2 linked regions of the Astyanax mexicanus genome follow. Each later gene encodes a partner of the first gene's protein in a complex. Links are inferred from orthologs where the notes say so. Each region holds a gene or a part of one and is shown on either strand. Other genes may lie near its edges. The genes, in order: fzd4 and norrin.

Region 1 (10,068 bases):
CCCCAACCAACACACACATACACACACACACACACACACACCCTAAACTAGGGGAAAGTTACAGCCAGTGTGTGTGTATGTGTGTTTGTGAGTGAGTGTGTGTGTGTGTGTGTGTGTTTCAGTTCTGTTTGTTTTACATCACATACTTTTACAGGCTTTTAGGCCACAGTACACTCTATTGCTCTCTTTGTCTCTCTCTCTCTTTCTCTCTCACACACACACACACACACTGAGATCACATCTTACTTAAAGATATATAGATACAACTATAAAAACAACTTCAAATCAGAAATATTTGGAACAGTATGAAAAATCCTTCTCATTAAGTGTGTTTCTTTATTTTTTATTCAATTTGTTGTCTAGATTGTAGATTAATATTAAAGACATAAAAACAAAAACAGCAAGAAGTATTTGTCCTCCAAAATCCCTTGATATAAACTGAGATAGTGATTTGAGATTTGGAATGAGCTACTAAGATACTAAGACAACTATTCCAGGTGACTCTACCTAATGAAGACACTGAGGTTAAAATACCAAGAGTGTTCAGATCTGTCCTCAAAGATAATTGTTCTACTTAGAAGAATCTAAATTATAAAACATATTGTTTAAAACAATATTCTGTTTAACACATTTTGTTTACAGAATAATTCTGCATGAGTTTCTGTATAGATTTAATATAGTCTTCATTATTAAATTTACAATGTTAAAAATATAAAAAGACAGAAAACACATTAAATGAGAAGAGATGTGTCCTTTTAAGCATCTCATACTTGCACTTTAGCCTAAAATGCTTTCGAGGACACTGATGTTTACCCAAACAAATCTGATATGCACAGACAAAAACTTCCTTTAGCCATGCAAAGGCTTCCTGGCTTCATTGTACTCTACAGACTCCACACAAAAACAACACAACCGTGTTTAATTATAGATGGTTACACTGTATCTACAAGTGCTTAATCAAAAGGTCAGTGGATTTGTCTTAGGGAGATTCAGAAGGTTTTAATATCTGTTTGAGAATGCTTTAAAGTCTGTGGATATGTCTCAAAGTATCTCAGAAAATCTTTGGATCTGTGTCAGGAAATCTGTGGATCTGTCACAGGAAGTCTTTGGAACTGTCTTAGGTGTCTCAGAGGTACTGTAAATCTTGAGAATCTCAGTTCTTTAGACCTGTCTCAGAGGATCTCAGAAGGTCTGTGGATCTGTCTGAGGTAAACTTAGAAGCTCCAAGGATCTATCTTGGGTGACAGGGGGGCTGTGAATCTGTCTCAGAGGATCTCAGAAGGGCTTTGGATCTGTCTGAAATAATCTTAGAAACTCTATGGATCTGTCTCGGGTCACAGGGGGTCTGTGAATCTGTCTCAGGGATCTATGGATCTTTTTCAGAAGATCTTACAGAGTGTTTAGGTCTGTCTCAGAAGATCTCAGAAGATCTCAAAAGACTTCAGAAGGTGTTATGAATGACGACCCACTTTGTTTCAGATGTCCACTCCTGGCTTTACTGGGCACAGTTGAGTGGGGCTGAGTGACTCAAAACACGAATGGACAGCCAAGTGTAAACACACACACACTTTTCATGCATGCATGCACTTATACATACACTGTATTAGCTACTTAGTGAGGATTCTGAGTATGTGTGTGTGTGTGTTGAAGGAGGAATTTGCACTCTTAGGCAGTTCAGTCTTGTTCTGAAGCCGTATAAACCCAGGCTTAGTGTGTTAGTCGCATGAATACACACATAAATCCACACACACATTCACACATATAGGTCTGTCACAACTACTGCAATTCACTTGATAAATTATAAAATAATTAGCTTTTCGCAGAGATGAATACCTGTGGTCTGATGCTACCACCACCATGTTTCACAAATGAGAGTGAACAGGATGAATGAATTGGTGAGAGTGAGCCAAAGTGAGTAAATTGTACAGAAAAAGAAAACCAATGTGCATAATCCAAAATAAATTGTCCAGTCTGAATAAACCAGAAGAAACCAAAGGTTGTAGATGCTCAGTGTGAATGCTGTTGAATGGAAAAAACAGAATGAACAGACTAGTGTGTTTTAGTGTAGTGTGCAATAGTTGGAATAAACCAACATTTGAACGAAGAGTGTCTCAGTGTGAATGATTCAGTATGAATGAACCGGAGAAACTGGGAGTAAATGGGAATGATGTGCTGTGTAAGAACCAATGAGAATAAACCCGTGTGAATTATCCAGTGTGCATAAGCAAGTATTTATGAACCAATATTACTAAGTGTAAATGATTAATGGCATAGAGTGCATAAACCCTTAAACCATATACAGCTACAAATAAACCAATATTACTGAATCAGTGTGAATGGTCTTTTGTGCATAAACTGGTATGAATAAAACAATATTATTAAATCAGTGTAAATAACCCATTGTTTGTAAACCATTATGAATTAATTAATGTACCTAAATCAGTATAAATGATCCAGTTTTTATAAACTGATATTAAAAAATCAGTGTGAATGGTCCAGTGTGAATGGTCCAGTGTGCATAAACCGGTATGAATTAAGCAGGATTATTGCATCCATGTAAATTAATTGGTTTGGTCAGACTGAAGACAAACATTTTGTTTTCTTGGAATAACATTAAATAAGACGAAAAACAATAATAAAATGTTTATGTGGAATCAATTTTCTTAATCTGGATCAACTCCAGGATTTCTGGAATCAGAATTAGCTTGTGTCTGACAACCATCTCGAATGTGTGTGTGTGTGTGCATGTGTGTATGTGTGTGTGTGTGTGTGTGTGCGCGCGCGCACTGTACACATGCAGCTGCTGCCCAACACTGTGTTTGATGTAAATAAACTTTGCAGTGTGTCCCCATAGCAACATGAAAGTGCTCGGCGCCGTGGCTCCTGATGAAACAGTGCATATTTACACCCTCATACACACACACTCTTCTTTCATCCTACCCATTCAAATATGCTTCGTTTTCACTTGTATTACACCACCAGCAGCTGTGCATGTTTACCACACACACATTTATATCACGCACACACATAAACACACACACAGTGGTAAGTTTCTAGTTTACGTTCAACAAACTGCATGCTGGTATTTTCTGCGTCTGTAAATCAGTGAATCCTGACTGTTACTGCAGCCAACAGGGCTATTAAATACGCATGAACTGCCTGATAGCATTAGCAACGTAGCAGTTAGCATGGCAGAGTAAAAGAACGGTTGGATCAAACCAATCAAAATAATATGGTCTAAATTAACTAATTTGTATAAATTGTGTAAATTAACTCTAAAACTAGTTTTACAAAGATTCCTAAACTCTCAAACTTTGGTCACAAGATCAAGCCATGTCTCAAGTCTTTGGTCATGAGTCCAAGTCTAGTCCTAAGTCTTTTTGAGGTGAGACTTAGTCAAGTCTCAAGTCTTTGATCACAAGTCCAAGCCAAGTCTCAAACCCATGAGAATTAACTAGTTTAAAGAGGCTAGGGTCAATAAACGGTATTGGTTAACTAGCTTGGATTAACAAGTGTAAATAAACTCGTTTAAATAAATCTGTATGAATAAACAAGTGTGAATAAATGTGTCAACAAAAAAAATATGAATAAGGCAGTATGTACATTGCAAAAAATCAATCATCAAAAGCTAGACAAAATATATGTGAACTGAGACATATATGTTTATATCAAGCAAAACTGCTTGTGGTAGGCAATCTGCCAATGAGGTAGGAAAATATTTCTTAGTAAGATTTCTTAAAATAATCAATTGAAACATCTCAAAATTAGTGTCAAGAGAGTAAAAATATAATTTTTGGGTTCTATCTGAACAAAAGAAACTCTGTGTTTTGTGTTCAAATTACTTAAAATAGGTTCACAATTCTAAATAAGAAAGTATCCATACAATAAGCAAAACTATCTTACATAATGCTTAGTAAGGAAAAAAAATATATCAGAAAAAAACATCAGATTTATTGACTTTGAATTTGATCATTTCAATTAAAATGAGTTTTTTTGCATGTGGTTTAGTTTTAATTTTTTCATAGATAAACTTGGTCTTCTTCAAGAAACTCACTTTGATTTAGATAGGAATTGAAAAAAGCCTATCTCCCAACCACCCTTGCAAACATGAAGGTGGTAGTGCTATTGTATGAGATCTCTTTGTGCAGATTATGGGGAATAGCTGGGACTGACTTTGGGACAGAATGACCTTAAAAAGTGGCACAGTGAGAACTCAAATTATAATTATAATCCATATTTCTTTTTATTCTTAGTTTTTTTTTTAACACGCCTGCTGCAGCACAACTGAGTTTTACCACAGACTAAACCATGGGGACACTAAAAGCCCACTGATGCGGATACTGACCTCCAACCCCACCTCCACACACACACACACACACAAACACAGGGTGGACTGTGTCCCTCCTCTGGCCGGGTTAGAAAGGTCAGAGGTCAGTGTGAGTGTTATCTGTGAGGATCTGACCAGCCCTCAGGCTCCTGACAGAAACAGTAAACAAAAACAAGAGTTTACATTCCAGAACAGGCTCCGCCCCACACACCCCGGATTTCTCTCTGTATATTTAGATCTATCGATTTTTCTCTCAGTTTTTCCATACATCCTCAACATTTCTCTCTCCTTCCCTCATTCACTCTCTCTCCTTTCATTATTCTTACACATCTCTCTTTCTGTCTCTCCTTTTACTCGACTTTAAGGCTCTCTCTCCTTTTAATCCTCTGACACATTTTTTCCTGTTTTCTTTTTATTTCTCTTTTAGTCTTCCCCTTCATCTCCTTATTTCACTCTTCTTTGCTCTCTCTTCCTTTTTCCCTCTTTCAATTTTATTTTGTTCTTTTAGTTTATGTGTCTTTCAGTCACTCTCTCATTTTTACTTATTTTTCGCTTCTCAGTCTTGTAATTCCTCTTTCACCTTTTCTATAATTAATGTCTCTCCTCTTTTATTATCTTTGTCTCTCTTTTGTTCTTGCTTTCTCACTTTTCCTTTTACTCCCTCCCTCCTTTTATCCCTCTCTTTTCCCTATTCTCTCTCCCTTTTTGGTCTCAATCTTTCAGTCCTACTTTATCCCTCTTTATCACTTTCTATCCTCTTTTACTGCTTGTCTCCCTCCTTCAGTCTGTCAGTCTCTCATTTTATACCTCCTTTTTCCACACTCAACACTTTTTTCTTTTTCAGTCTCTCTTCTACTTTGTCAGTCTCTCTTTCCTTCAGTCTTTTTATTCAAATCTCTTTTATTCTGTCTCTGTCATTTTATTCAATTTTTCTCATTCAGTCTCTCTTTCCTTCATTCTTTTTATTTGTGTCTATTTTATTCTCTCTGTTGTTTTAATCTCTATTTTTTCTGTCAGTATTTTTTATTCTGTCTCTGTCGTTTTATTAGTTTTTTTTGTCAGTCTCTTTTAATCTGTCTCTGTCGTTTTTTCCTTTTTTCTCTGCCAGTCTCTCTTTTATTCTGTCTCTGTCGTTTTAGTCGCTTTTTCTCTCTGCCTGTCTCTTTTCTTTCTGGCGCTCGCTCACTCCTTTTATTCGTCTCTCTCTCCCTCTCGCCCCGCCCCTAGCCCCGCCCAGTGCAGTTATTATCACAGTTGCTAACCCCGCCCCTGGTCAATAGCCCCGCCCCTCGCTACCCTCTGTCCAGCTCGAGCGCAGAGAGTGGGGTAGTAGAGTAAGATCAGGAGCGCGCGGGGGAGAGTAGAGCTACAGCGCGCGGGGTGTGAGCTGTGTGTGTGTTTATAGAGTGTTTAGTGTATATATAGTCTGTGTGTTTATCTGTGGATCTGCTTCCTCGTGCTGCCCGGTGATCCTCATGGCTCGCGCTGCCCCCGCGGGTCTCGCGCTGCTGCTGCTCGCGCTGGGGAGCGGGCGCGCGCGCGCCTTCGGTGTGGATGAGGACGCGCGCTGCGAGCCCATTCGCATGGCCATGTGTCTGGACCTGGGATACAATCAGACGCGCATGCCCAACCTGGTGGGGAACGTGCTGCAGGCGGACGCGGAGCTGCAGCTCCAGACCTTCACACCGCTCATACAGTACGGCTGCTCCAGCCAGCTGAAGGTACGATGACTACACACACACACACACTGGACATGGGGTTACACATTGCCCCACAAATATCCAATATTGGATAATAAATCATCTAAAGTAACGTGTTATATATATATATATATATATATATATATATATATATATATATATATATATATATATATATATATATATATATATATACACATGTCAAAGCCTATATGCAATAATATATAGTGTATTATATAGTAAGTTCATTTACCGTTATGTAATCATAACATATTTGTACATATACTAGATAATTCATTCACAAGTTTGGACAGACCTTCTCATTCAAAGTTTTATTTTTCTTATATTGTAATCCAGATTATAAAGGAACACATAAAGAATCATGCAGTAACTTCAAACTGTTAAACAAACCAAAATACTCTGTGAAGCATTCAGGTGCTCTTATCTGGAGTACTGTTAACTTGCGGTTTCTGAGTCTAAAAACTCTGATGGCCTTTTCTTGTGAAGGAGTATTGTGGAGGTCCTGATGAGAGCCAGTTTCATCATAACGTTTTTGATTGTCTTTGCAAATGCACTTTAAGATACTTTCAGAGTTCTTTTTAAGGTGAAATTTAAGGTGACTACCTCATAAAGTTGACTGGTAAAATGCAGAGATGTCCAAAGCTATCATCTTAGCAAGTACTTTGAAGAATGTTAAAATAATACATTTTCTGGTTTATTTAACACTTTTTTGTTTACTAAATAATAACATCTTTCATAGTTTGGATTAATTTAGTATTAATCTACAATACAGAAAAATAATGAACCACTGAATTTAAGGTGGAAAAAAGGTGTGTCCAAACTTTTGTCTTGTACTGTATATAATGTATATATGTAAGTACCTATATGTACTAATAATATACCCATTTATAAAAAAAATAAGTAATTAAGTGTTTACAAAAATATATTATTTTAATAATATGTAAGTCAGAAACAATATTTAACAATAATATTTTCTATATTTATTATATATGTTAATATCTAATTATGTAAGTAAGTAACTATTTCTAGTGTGTGTTTATTAGTGTGTGTGTTTACTTAGGGTGTTTATCTCTGTTTTGACTTCAGTGTGTCTGCAGCTTGCACGAGTTTGGTGTAGGTGTGTGTGTGTATATGTGTCTGTGTGTTTGGATTATAGTTTCCCTCAGCGGTTAGGAATGACCACAGTGAAAATCCGACATTTCCTCTAGTCAGTACACTCCCCTGAACACACACACACTCTGCATTTCACTCGCAAAACTGTTTAATCAAATTTACTGTAGTTTAGAATAACTCTATAAGTGTAGTGTATTTATTGACCATGTTTATTGTTAATACTTTCTGTGGCTGATACTCTTTCAGTTCCTGTTGTTGGAGATTTCTCCAACCTCTAGGCCTCTAGTTCTAGTTTCCGAACACTTCAGCAACTGAATCCCCATTACTTGTGCAATATTGCCAAATCAACAACCAACCACAAAGTATGATACATCCACCCCCATGCTTCACAGTTGGCAAGTTATTAATTTTTTCTTTAAAATGTACCTATGCTGATTGTGGCAAAATAGTTCTGACTTCACCGGTCTACAGCATTTGTTTTACAAAGTGCATCTGGCATTCATTTGCTTATCTTGTTCTAAGACCTTGACAAAAAACAAATCCTAGGTTGCCCAAGCTTTTGTACAGGCCACACTGCTGATTTTTTAAAATAGTTTTGTCTGTGCATTAGAATCTGATATAATTATGCTGTTGATGGTTTAGCTATAGAAGCTTGATTTATTATATTTCAAAGCCATTCATTAATGGCATACAGATATTTGTTTAAGTGAAGTGAAGTCAGTCATATTATTTTATCAAATTAAAATCAAATCATATTTATTAATGATGTTGTACTGTTTGACTGGACACTAATATTAATTTGTGTAAGGTGTGTATATCAATTAAAAGTATATACAGTTGGTGTATACAGTGTTTACATTGCTGTTGTATACAGAGTGTGTGATGTGTGTATAGAGTGTACAGAGTATATACAGTCTCACAAAAGTGAGTACACCTCTCATGTAAATGTACTGTCCCCTTTAAAATAACTCAACACACAGCCATTTATGTGAAAATAAAAGTGAAAATGGCAGAAATGGCGCCCAAAGCCTTTTTGGGCATGGATTCCATCAGAGCTTCACGGGTTTCCTCTGGAATCTTTTCCTCACCTCCTTGATGACATCAAGGATCTGGTGGATGTTAGAGACCTTGCACTTCTACAGCCTTTTGCTTGAGGTTGCCCCACAGGTGCTCAGTTGGGTTTATGTCTGGAGACATACATACATACTAGTCCATCACCTTTACTTTTAGCTTCCTGTGCAAGGCAGTTGTCATCTTGGAGGTATGTTTGGAGTCATTATCACGTTACCAGTTACTGAAGGTAGGAACAGTATATGTTGGAATTTAGATCCCCAGCACTGGAAGTACTCAAGCTGCCCCAGACCATGATGCTACCACCACCATGCTTGACTGTGAGCAAGGCACAGTGCTTGGTACTCCTCTCCAGGATACTGCCACATATGCTGGACACTATCTGAGCCAAACAAATTAATATTGATCTCATTAGATCACAAGACACATTCCAGTATCCATGCTCTTGAACTACTTGTCTTCAGCAAACTGTTTCAGGCTTTTTTGTGCATCAGCTTTAGAAGAGGCTACCTTCTAGGACATTGCCATGTAAACAGAGTTGATGCAGTTTGTGGTGTATGGTCTGCGGGCTGACCTCCCACTTCTTCAAGCTCTGCAGCAATACTGGCAGCACTTATACATCAATTTTCAAACAGCCAATGGATATTATTATTAACACGTGAAAACAGCTTATTTGGTTGAACTTGGGGAGGCCTGTTCTGAGTGGAAAACTGCTGTATAACCCTGGCCATTGTGCTGTATCTCAGAAAGTGCCATGTTAAATATCCAGTGGCCAGTGTGAGATAATTGAACCCAAAAAAATAACCTTGTAAACTAATGAGTCACATGACACTGGGGAAGGAAAATAGCTCATTTGGCACAATTTGAACATGTTTACTTAGGGGTGTGCTCACTTGTGTTGCCAGCAGTTTATACATTAATGGCTGTGTGTTGAATTATTTTGAGGGCACAGTAAATTTACACTGTTATCCTGTAGCTGTACACAGACTACTTTACATCAAAGAGTTAGCAAACATCTAAAGATCTATAGTGTTGCCCACTAAATATTTACAAATATGGGGTGTACAGATTTTTTTTGAGATGCTGTACCGATACTTTGTGTATACAAAGTGTGCAATATCTGTAAACTGTGTGTATACAGTGGCTGCATAAAGTAAATGCATATTTGTGTGTTTACAGTGTGTGTATACAGTAAGTGTATTCACGATGAATGCATACAGTATGCGTATAACTTGAGAATATACAGTAATCACACAGATTTTAGATATGACTATATATCAGGAAATAAAGGCTTTAGTGTTAAAAACAGTCAAAAACGTTTTGAATCTCGCTGATGTAACACAGAGCAGCAGGGAGGGTCTACTGTGCAGAATGCTGTATTTTTATCTCTTTATTAAATTATATAATAACACAGAAATTTACAGAACAATGCTGTGATTTACTTGTGTTCACTGTTACTCAAGCAAACATGGAGTCAACTGTTACTAATAAACTCTCTGCTTTTTACTTTATATACTGTCTGTTTATATACACCGCACATATACACCCCTTCTAATTAATGTATTCAGTTACTTTAGGATGATAAGCCTTGCCAATACCATAGGAGCAGATAAACGTGAACATGTTGGCATCACACAAACACTGGAGAGGTATAAAGCCCCCCTAGTATTGAGCTGTGGAACAGTGGAACTGTGTTCTCTGGAATGATGGTGTCTCATTCAGTACTTTTGGGATGAGTAGGGGATAAGGTGGTAATCATCCAACATCCTGACCTCGCTAGCACTCTTATCACTGAATGCAATCAATTCCTGACAGCAATGCTCCAAATTCTGACAG
Region 2 (9,851 bases), on another chromosome or scaffold:
CAGGGTTTACACAGCCAGACATCGCCGGGTCTGCTCCTAACCTGGATGCTCCAGATGCATCATGCTCTCTGCTCCATCATTTGTTTAATATCAACATATCAGGCATACCGGGCATGATAACGGTTATCATCACCATCATCATCACGCCCAGACATGACTGTTGACATTCAGAAGTGCGAGAAAAGGGCTGCTTTGTTCAAGGCCTGATTCACGGTCATAATAACCAGGCTGAACAATGTAGCGAGAGACATCCCTGTTTACAAGGTGACTACAGATTCCAATAGAGTTCGTAAAAACAAGAGAATGACCTCATGGTACAGTCATGCACAGCCGCCTGATCAGCTAAGTCTGGGGGCTTCCAGCGTTGGGGAGTTGAGTTGGAGTTGGGGTGGGGGGTTATGATGTGCAATTGTGGATGCTCCACCCCAACCCCTCACTCACCCCTGCAGGGAACTGCCCTGGGGCAGGGAGGCAGTTAGGTTAGGTAGGGCACCGCTGCAGCCTCAACACCTGCTGAGATTCACAGATTTATAGAGCCCAGTGTGTCCACAAACAGCAGCTGGAACTTCCGATCCCCCCCATCTGACACAACAACAGCAGCACAGCAGCACAGCAGCATGCCTCCACCCTGTCCACCTCCACCCTTTCTCTCTCCAATACAGCTACACATATCCCACTCTGGACTTGCAAACTCATATTTTTGTTTTGCTTTGTTTTGTTTTACGAGCTCCTAAATTACCCTTGAAGGGTTTGAGCCGTAACGGTTGCTGAACTTGTTGTCCGGTTTCACTTTGGCAAACATGGCCGCTTCGTTCATAATAATGTACTCAAATGTTTCCTTTAATTAGACGTCTCATTAGAACTACAGCCAGAGCCTTCTGGATTTAAAAAATGCTTCTTTATCTCAATCAATGAACAAACAATTCAAATCCTTTTTTTCACATTTGATCACGGTAATGGCTTTGCTGGCAGTACATTTGGCTGTAAAAACTGATTAATTAGACATACATTTTTAAATTAATCTTCAATTTAAATAATACAATAGGATCCTTTATATTTTCATTGCTCCTTTTTTTAAACAAGTACCTAGTCAAGAGTCTCATTATGAAACATGTGCTAAGCTAACCGTTCCAAGGGACGAAAAAGCAATAAACATTTAAAACTAAGGGCAGGAGCCAAGGGTGAGTGAGACACTCCAGAAGTGTTGGTGTGCGTGGTGCTTCCAGGCAAAGCCCAGTCACCCAGAGTCCTGCCGTGATCCCAGAGGATCCAGACCAGGCATGATGCCAGTGTGTGGACCCCCAGACTGGACTGTCACCAGGCATGGCCCTGTGAAAACATGGCATAGCTCTTTTTGATTAATCTGGTTCAGGTCTGGTAAAGGGGCCTGGACGTCTGCAGCATTGGAACTGCGAAATTCCTGACATTCAATCACAGCCACAGGTTGGGAGCAATTCAGTGTAACTTTTCGGCCTCAATCTGACCATTAAAAACCGCAGAGCCTATTTCATTCTGGGAACAAAAAAAAGGGCTTTCTGACCATAGCCAAGTCTGGACATCATCACGTGTGATACGGTGGTTTTTCCTCCACCCGAGCTCACACACACATGCTTCTGAGGAACTCAAGGGACCTCAGGTAGTCTCTTGATATTGGAGCATGTCATCCTGTCTCTGGCTCTCATCGCTGCTCTCCTCCTTGCATAAGCTAAAGCACAGACTGTCATTTTGAGAAGGATTTTCAGACTGAAATGTGCCTCGAGCTATAAGAGAGAGAGGTCGGATAAGGTAGAAAGAAGAAGAGGGAGACCGTGGAATCCAAGTTATTAGCTATGGTTGCCTCAGCATTGCCGTTTTCAAGTAATTTATTTCGGTTGGGAGCAGATTTTCCAGGTAATCCAGGACAAAGTCTCAGAGTTGCCTCCAGATGTACCTTGGTGGGTTTAATCATTCTAGAAATTCTAGAGAACTCTTCATTCTTCTTTTCTTCAGGCCGGTAACTGTTCTGGTGAATGCTGATTACAGACTGGAATAGCGTTGGATGAAGCTGCCGACTCTGTTCAGCACTGTTCAGGAATGCTTTTGATGCTCTCCAGTGCTAATGTTACACTTTTGTTTGATTACTCTGGCTGTAATTCTGTCAATTCTTTTGAACGTAAATGAAGCAGCCCTTCAGTTGCTGTGCGGGTTGGTCCTGTCTTGTGTCCAGTGTGTCTCCTGTCCGTCAGCCTGTCATGCCTCCTCTTATGTTCGCGCCTTACGTCAATGTTTGGTGCTCACTTAGTGCCCCATTGTTTCACCAGCTTTTAATAAACCAAAGGGCAGATTCCTACAGGGGCCAAATAGCCCCCCTCCACGCTCTCCTCCTGGACCCCGTCTGCACCCAAGCAGCATGCCAGCCCTGAGCAGGGGCATTGCCACCACGCTTTGATGCCACCAGCCCGCGCCTCCCTTACTCCAATGGCTAAGCCATGCACTAAATATATCCCGCGTGATAAAGATAAGACAAACAGTGTGGATTTGAGCGTGGCCCACGACCAATGGCAGCGGACCCTGAGAGCCCATGCTAAGCTAATGTTAGCGTTACAATTTAGGCTTCTTAGAACAGATCACATTCTAAGAAGACAATAAAAGTATAAAGGGGCCTGGGAATGCTGCAGCAGTTGAGTCCCAAAACACGTGTTCGGCAATTAGGGGAACTTATTAGGATGTCCTCTTAAACCTCCTCCCCATGCTGTGTTTTGTTCTGAGCTGAGCTGACTCACTCTCTGAGTATTCCCTTTATATCTGGATACTTTTCTGCGTTTTTTAGAAGGTTAATTTACGTGTTTTTTTTAAGATACATTCACAAGAAAGCGATTATGTGAAACCTAACCCCACCAGAAAGCACCAGGCGGAAGGTATTGTCTTAAAGTGTTCAAATGTACGAGGGGAAGCTCCCCACATGCACCTCCACCTCATTCTCCAACAAGTCCATAATAAATAAACAATCCCAGGACTCGGGATTTGATGCTGTGGTGTGATCCAATGACTGCAGCAGCGGGTTCAGTATGGAATTAAGCCATGAATGCTCAGTCAGTGAATGCACTGTCTACGGCGGCTCGTCTCGGCAGGCGACCCACCACAGAAGACACTGCGCCTCTCATCAGGCGCGCATACCATGAACCTGCCCTAGGCTCAGTGCCTTTAACCAGATTCTAATGACTTGCAGTGCGTAAAATTGTCAAGTCAAAGCCTGACCAAGGTGCTGATAGGTGTTGAGCAATGGTGCGTTATCAAAACCACCAAGAATACCAAGAATAACAGAGCGTTTCTTTTCCTCTGTTGACAGAATACAGAACGGATAATGTGAGTGGATTACCTGATTTAATATAAAAGTAATAAATTATAATACATCAACCACAGTTTTACAGCCAAATGTTACAGCCAAAACCAAATATATGATATGTTTCATTCATCATTTACCTGGAATCAAGAACATTCATTGTGTCCCTGCTTTTTACACAGAACAAGCATAGACCTTCTGAGGCAGGACTGCAATAACAATGCACAACGTACAACTTTTCAGGTAATTAGAACAACATGTTACGCAACACATCCGTCTGCTATTTGCTGTCCCATCACACCAGTCCATTCCTAGGATCTAGACTATGTTACAAAACCTAAAGAACGACAGTTTAAACATCACAGTGAAACAACCTGGTAGCTCATTTGACACCCTGTGTCACCTTTAGATCCACACAGTAAGCTCACCTACCTTTTCTCCAGCTCCTTCCAGCTCTCAATATAATATCCAGCCCCGGCTGCACCTCACTGGACTGAAGCAGCACTGAAATTGCTTTTAAACCCCCTTTTCTATCCCTCACTCTCTCCCTCTCCTTTCTCTCCCTCTCCTTTCCTCCCTCGTTCCCTCTTCACTCTCTCTATTTCACTCTCCCTCTCACGCACACTGATTGTGTGAGCTCTGACTCCCTTTCTCCCTCTCTCTCTTTCTCCCTCTCTCTCTGTCTCTTTCTTTCCCTGCTCCCCCTCCCCTCCTCCTCTGCTGTGCTGACATTCACACCCCTCGTTTTTTTTTTTCTTTTCTGTATAGAGGAATCAGAGGGAAAAGGGAAAGGACAGATGATGCACGTCTCAGGATGGTTGTCAGATGTGGAACGTGACACAGCAGTCATATATCACCTCAAGAACCCACACACAACACACACACTCTATCTTACTCTCTCTCTCTCTCTCACACACACACACACACACACACCCTCCAGCTGACACACCAACACGCTCTCGCAAAGCAAATGGGGATTCCAGCTTCGGAATGGTTGTAGAATCAGAGAGCACAGCAAAAGCCCGGCCCTCTTTTACGAGCTATGGGTTATAAAACTGTTAGCAGAATTAGTTTATTTAAAAACAACTGGTCCCCCAGCTTTATAACTGCAGCACCTGCGGTCCCCCAGCTTACAGTAGGGTCACCGAGGGGTTTTAGGAGGTGCGTGTCAATTTAACACAGCCCACGTCAGAGGAGAGGGAAAACTTCAGCTTCTCAGCGTAACAGAAAAAAAACAACAAGTGGGGCATCGAGTGTATTTAATTAGCAGCAGGATTTAAAGTACACTGAAGGTCTACTGCCTCGGGCATAACAACAAATTGCTGTGTTGGCTCGCTTTTTAATAGCGTAACAAACCCTTTTTTAAAGTAAGGCCAAAAGTGAATGAGTCAATTGATCATGACCAAGTGTTTTATATCAGGGAGAGAAAAAAATTAAACCAGCCACACTAAGTAACTAAAAGTATAAGTTGTCAGGTGATATCTTGTGAGTGAGGTTGAACACTGGCAGTCCAACACTGAGTTGGACTGAGAATTAAACTTCACTTTTAGTTATAATGTCTAAACTGTAAGGTAATTAAATTGTAAATTGTAATTTCAATTGCTTTGCAACTTGAAGTTCATTATCAGGTAACAAAATAGATTTATATGTGTCTACTTCTCACATTTATTTAAAGCTCCACCAGGTAGGATTGAGATTTTGTGCTCGTGGGCTCCCCTTACAGTTGCAGAGTGTAATAAATGTTTCAGGCGGATTACACAGACATATTCGGTCCCTTTTCACCTTCTGCCAGAGTTTCTGTATGTTAGTTTGTAAAGAATGAACCAGTAGTCTTTGTAGAACTGTTAGAACTAAAGGTCGGAAAGCAGGTCGCAGTTCTCATTAGCGTTGGTGGCTGCCGCCTTGGAAGACTTACAGAGTCTGGTTTGAGCTCAGAGGAGTACTGCTATTCGTCCTATTACACCTCAATGCAGCGCTGCAGTGAGTTTCAAGCTGTAATTTTATTTCTTTAAAAAAATTAAAAATCAAGGAAGTTCTACCTAGTGGGGCTTTAAGTAAAATATAGATGCTGTATTTACTTAGATTAAGAAAGAAAGAAAGAAAGAAAGAAAGAAAGAAAGAAAGAGAAAGAACATTCTTTAGAGTGAACAGTAGAGTTAGTACAGCAGCTTATAAAATGATGCTTGCTCTTACAGCCTACAACATAAAGGCCAGGCACTTATTCACAATATGTGATCTACAATTTAATCTACACCCTGATCATTAGGGTAAGAAACTGGGGGACTTTTTTGTGCCAAAAGCCTATACAAAAACAAAAGTGGCCAATGGAAAATAATAATCTAATAAGTTATTATAAATTGATTCAACTCAAAGATCTATGTTTGAATGTACAGTATATGTGGCCACAAATGTTGTTGACAATATTCAATTTATATAAAACAGACTTAATTGGGTTTAGAGTGTAATAGGCCTTTCCTTTTCAAAGTTGTCCTTGATCCACAGTGTTAAAGAAGGCAATGATGGTGACTGGTGGCATCTGGATAGAACTGTCCATGTGTACAACATAGGACAAGTGACACAGATCATTGCGTTATGTTTATGTTTAGCTTAAATGAGATGTTGGACATGATACTAGTCTCATGTTAAATTACATTTGGCATCTCATAGTGCAGTTCTATAGAGCACATACAGATTACAGCATATAAACTCAAAAGTATGAACGTATAAGGACTACACATCGCTGAGGGTCTTAAAGAACCCTAAAACTGTGGGGGTTCTTTACATTGAAGAAAATATCATCCAAAGAACTTGTTGGCACCTTAATTGTACCTTTTGTTGAAACAACCTGAATCCCTTTTGTTAAAATTGCAACATAATGTCTATAACCACAGAAGACATTAACACCACCCACTAAGTATTATAAAAAAAAATTAGATTTTTGTATAACCAGTAATTATTTGTGGAATGTGTTCACTTGAATGACAAAAAAGACAACCTTACTGTATAATTAAGATTTCACAAAGAAGACATAATTGCTGTTTTACATCTCAGACAGAGACAGAGAATTTTTGGTGGGATTTTTGTTTTCCATGTTTTTCAGGCAAATACCTCCAACAATTCAAAATGTCAGTCGTGGTGGGGAAAGGGGGGGGGGGCATATTAAATTACCGCAAATATTGGCACGGGGGGAGTGTGTAATCTTCAGATTGAGGTGTGGACTCAATCCAAGAGTGAACTGAAACCCTGTAAGACAGAAATATCTGATAATCAGATTCTTCCCACTTCAGAGGTCTGCTTTTTCAGACATTCTTTCAGCAGTTTTCATTCAGCTTTGTAAAGGGAAAAAACTAGACTATGAAAGGCTGACTATTCCACGCTGGAGCCCCCCAAAAAAAAGGTTTAAATATAGACTTGTTAAGGATATGTGAGGATAATGTTCTGCAAGGCAAAAATGCTGTGTAGTCCGGGCTTAAATCAATCAATGATTGTTCAAAAACTGGTTCAGAAAAATTTGAAACCTCAGGGGAAATTACAGGCGAGCTGCTCTGGGTAAGTAGGGCTTAAAGGGTCAAAAGTATATGAAACACAATTACCTGCAAGGGCTTCTTTGGACCTCACACTGAAAACTCACTCTCGCTTTTTAAAGATCCACTAGCAGCACTCTTCATTCAGAGTATACGATTACATGATTGATGCTTTTCTATCCACTGAGGCTGATTTATAAAGAACTCTGCTAGATTCACAGTACTGTTACATCACAGAGACAGGATTTCACATTCATAATCAATGTTAATGTGACTATTTATTTTGCCTAAATTTATGTTTTTTTGCACAATAACTCTACTTTGTTAAGTTTATTGTCAGGTAATAAAATCTATTTGCATTTAGTCTACCTTTTAATTTCATTAAAAAAATAATGAAAAGTAAAATTAAAGACAAATATAGATACTTTTTTTGCTTAAATTGAATATTCATAGAAAGACAAAGAATAAAACCTTAGTTTTGACCAACTTATGCTTGGGCTTTTTCATACAATGATTTTGACTAACAGTTTACTGAGCCATGGTAAAAAGTCAATGGCCAACAATAATTCAAATACCATATACCAAATACCACATTTCACACACTGTAGCACCAAAGCGTTTTATAAACCTGGCCCCCTGTGTCTCTTTAGTATTTCATGAGATTGAGTCATTAAATGGGTAATATATTCACAAAACCTATGACACCGTCTACTTTCATGGAGAGAGGGGCTGAAATAATATTTCAGCAGCTACTCACTCAGTCACTCAGCAGAACTGTAAAATGGTTTTTGCAGAGGTTTCCTCACAAAGTTGTCTTTCTCAAGTGGAGTCCTCTCAGGTTCGCCTCTTTTTTATCCTGTAGAAACATGTAGGTGTGAGCGTCTGGAGATTTTGGGCTGAGCTGCACCGTATACCACAACTTTCTCATGAACATAAATATTAAAATCTCACCTTTTTACATCCAACTCACCACGATCTGGAGCTGTAGAAGTCCATATTGATTTCAGCAGGTTGTCCAATCTGTGGTTTCAGGTGAATTTAGAGACTCCAGAATATACAGAACATTGCACTGCATCCAGAACCTTATTACAAATGCTAAGAGGATATTAATATAACAATTTAATAAAGTGAAAGGGAGTAAGAAAGAATATACTAAAAGAAGAAAAATCTAGAGAGTGTAGTTCTTGCTAAAATGCTGGAATGCAAATATGCTTAAATGGCTAATAGAACTGTGCTAGAACTGCGTCCAAATACTTTTGGCCAAATGTTTGAGGCACAAACATTTGTTTAATTGGTAAAATGCAAGTACATCAGTCTAATAGAGCTGTGCCTACAAGCCTTTGGTGAAAAACATTTGGCTAAATGGTAGAATGCAAAATGTATTTAGCTAACAGAGCTCTGTCCGCAAACTTTTGCCTAAAAGATGGAGAGAAAACCGCTGTGTGGAAAATCAAAACCTTTCTCCCCCCACTGTAAATCACATGGATTTATAAAGCATAAATCATATAACTATGCTCTTAGGTCTATAAATGCACCAAATTTCTTTAAAAATTATGACCCCTAGAGGAGTTAAAATATTTTCTTAAAAGTAAGTAACCACAATAGGTTAGTTTGGATGCTTAATGTTTAAATATTATTAATTTTATCTGAAAGCTGTATACAAGAACACTGATTTCCAATCAGCATTGATCTTCTAAGTGTTTTTTAGTCCTGTATAAAATTGCAAAGCATTTGTAATTGTATTTCCATTGAAATATACAAGCAAACTTTGTCCGACGATCTCAAGTTTATAGAATATCATGTGGTGCGACCATCAAGAAACTACTACTTTGGGACATTTATCTTGAAACCAATTTAAAGACAGGAAGTTGCATCTTTTTTTTGGTTGCAGCAAGTAATATTTAGTAACAAGCTTGAATATTTGGTTAAAAGATAGATCTTTTTTGAGGCAAAACAACAAAACATTTTCAAGTTGTTATAAAAACTTTATTGTAAGAGTTTGTTGTTTTTTTTATTATATGCCATGTATTAGCACTTACAGAAATTAATACTACAATAAATAAAATATTTGACAGGTAAGCATTACTAAAGAATTTCAAAATGACTACTACTACTATTAAGTAAATAATAAAAGCCATGGGAGAATGTGGCGCTACATTTTACATGTAGTAAAATCTACAAGATACACTGGGTAAAATATAATTGAATAATGCATGAAAGTAACAATTTACTGAAAATTTATTGTAGTTAAGTACACTGAGAATTATTGGTACTACTTTAAAATAAGACTACCCTTATAAAGGGTTTATAAATGGTTTATACATAAGTTTATTAAATATAATTGATTAGGTTGCCAACGCCTTAAAAATCATTAATAATCATACAAATACATAGAAAGGGCAACAATGACCTGTTGTTTGCCAAATAGTAAACCCACAGCCATCTATATTGTTGCCCTTCTTGCGTATGTGTTATAACTGATTATCAATGCTTTTTAAGGCATTTACAACCTAATTAGTAAGCATTAATGAACTCATTGTAAACCATTTATAAACCCTTTATAAAGATAGTCTTATTTTAAAGTGTTACCGAATTATTAGTAAATATTACTTGAATGTATGCTTGTTAAAGTTGCTGTTTTTTTAAGTAAATCCTACTCCACATTTTTTAGTGAACTGCAATCACATGAGCTGGAGAGTCTGCCTCAGGTTAAAGCAGGTGGAAGACCATGTCAGGCTCTAAAAGTTTTCAGTCATACATCTTTCCTCCTGAGCCCCGTCCTCTGCCTTTGATGAAAGAGTTAAACCCATCCTCACCCTGGCCGTCCATCAGGCTGAAGCCGGCTTTCATGTTCCTCTAACCCACAACAGAAGGCGGCCTTTGAGGTATCAGGCTTGCCAGCTTCCCGGGTGAAGAACAGCAACGGCAAATTGAGACTGATGGGCTGGAGACACATTGAGTCTTCATTCTGAGTGATCAGTTTCGAGTCTCGTTTCAGGCTTCAT

The links.
Region 2: the proteins of fzd4 (region 1) and norrin are in contact, whole or in part, in a crystal structure (PDB 5BQE), measured with the Homo sapiens proteins. The link is inferred for Astyanax mexicanus from reciprocal best matches to the Homo sapiens genes FZD4 and NDP. Residues at the interface, in NP_036325.2 of Homo sapiens: Ser51, Met52, Gln54, Asn55, Leu56, Gly57, Gln95, Phe96, Met105, Thr107, Lys109, Ile114, Asn152, His154, Met157, Cys158, Met159, Glu160, Gly161, Pro162; in NP_000257.1 of Homo sapiens: Asp33, Ser34, Pro36, Arg38, Met40, Arg41, His42, His43, Tyr44, Val45, Asp46, Lys58, Met59, Val60, Leu61, Lys102, Lys104, Leu106, Tyr122, Leu124, Ser125.

What each region holds. Positions count from the first base shown.
Region 1 is NC_064425.1:12,077,976-12,088,043, reverse strand, and holds the start of fzd4 (frizzled-4), read left to right. Parts: upstream 1-5,610; 5' UTR 5,611-5,802; coding exon 5,803-6,048; intron 6,049-10,068. UniProt on the Homo sapiens protein: Receptor for Wnt proteins.
Region 2 is NC_064418.1:5,507,122-5,516,972, reverse strand, and holds the start of norrin, read right to left. Parts: upstream 4,001-9,851; 5' UTR 3,755-4,000; intron 1-3,754. UniProt on the Homo sapiens protein: Activates the canonical Wnt signaling pathway through FZD4 and LRP5 coreceptor.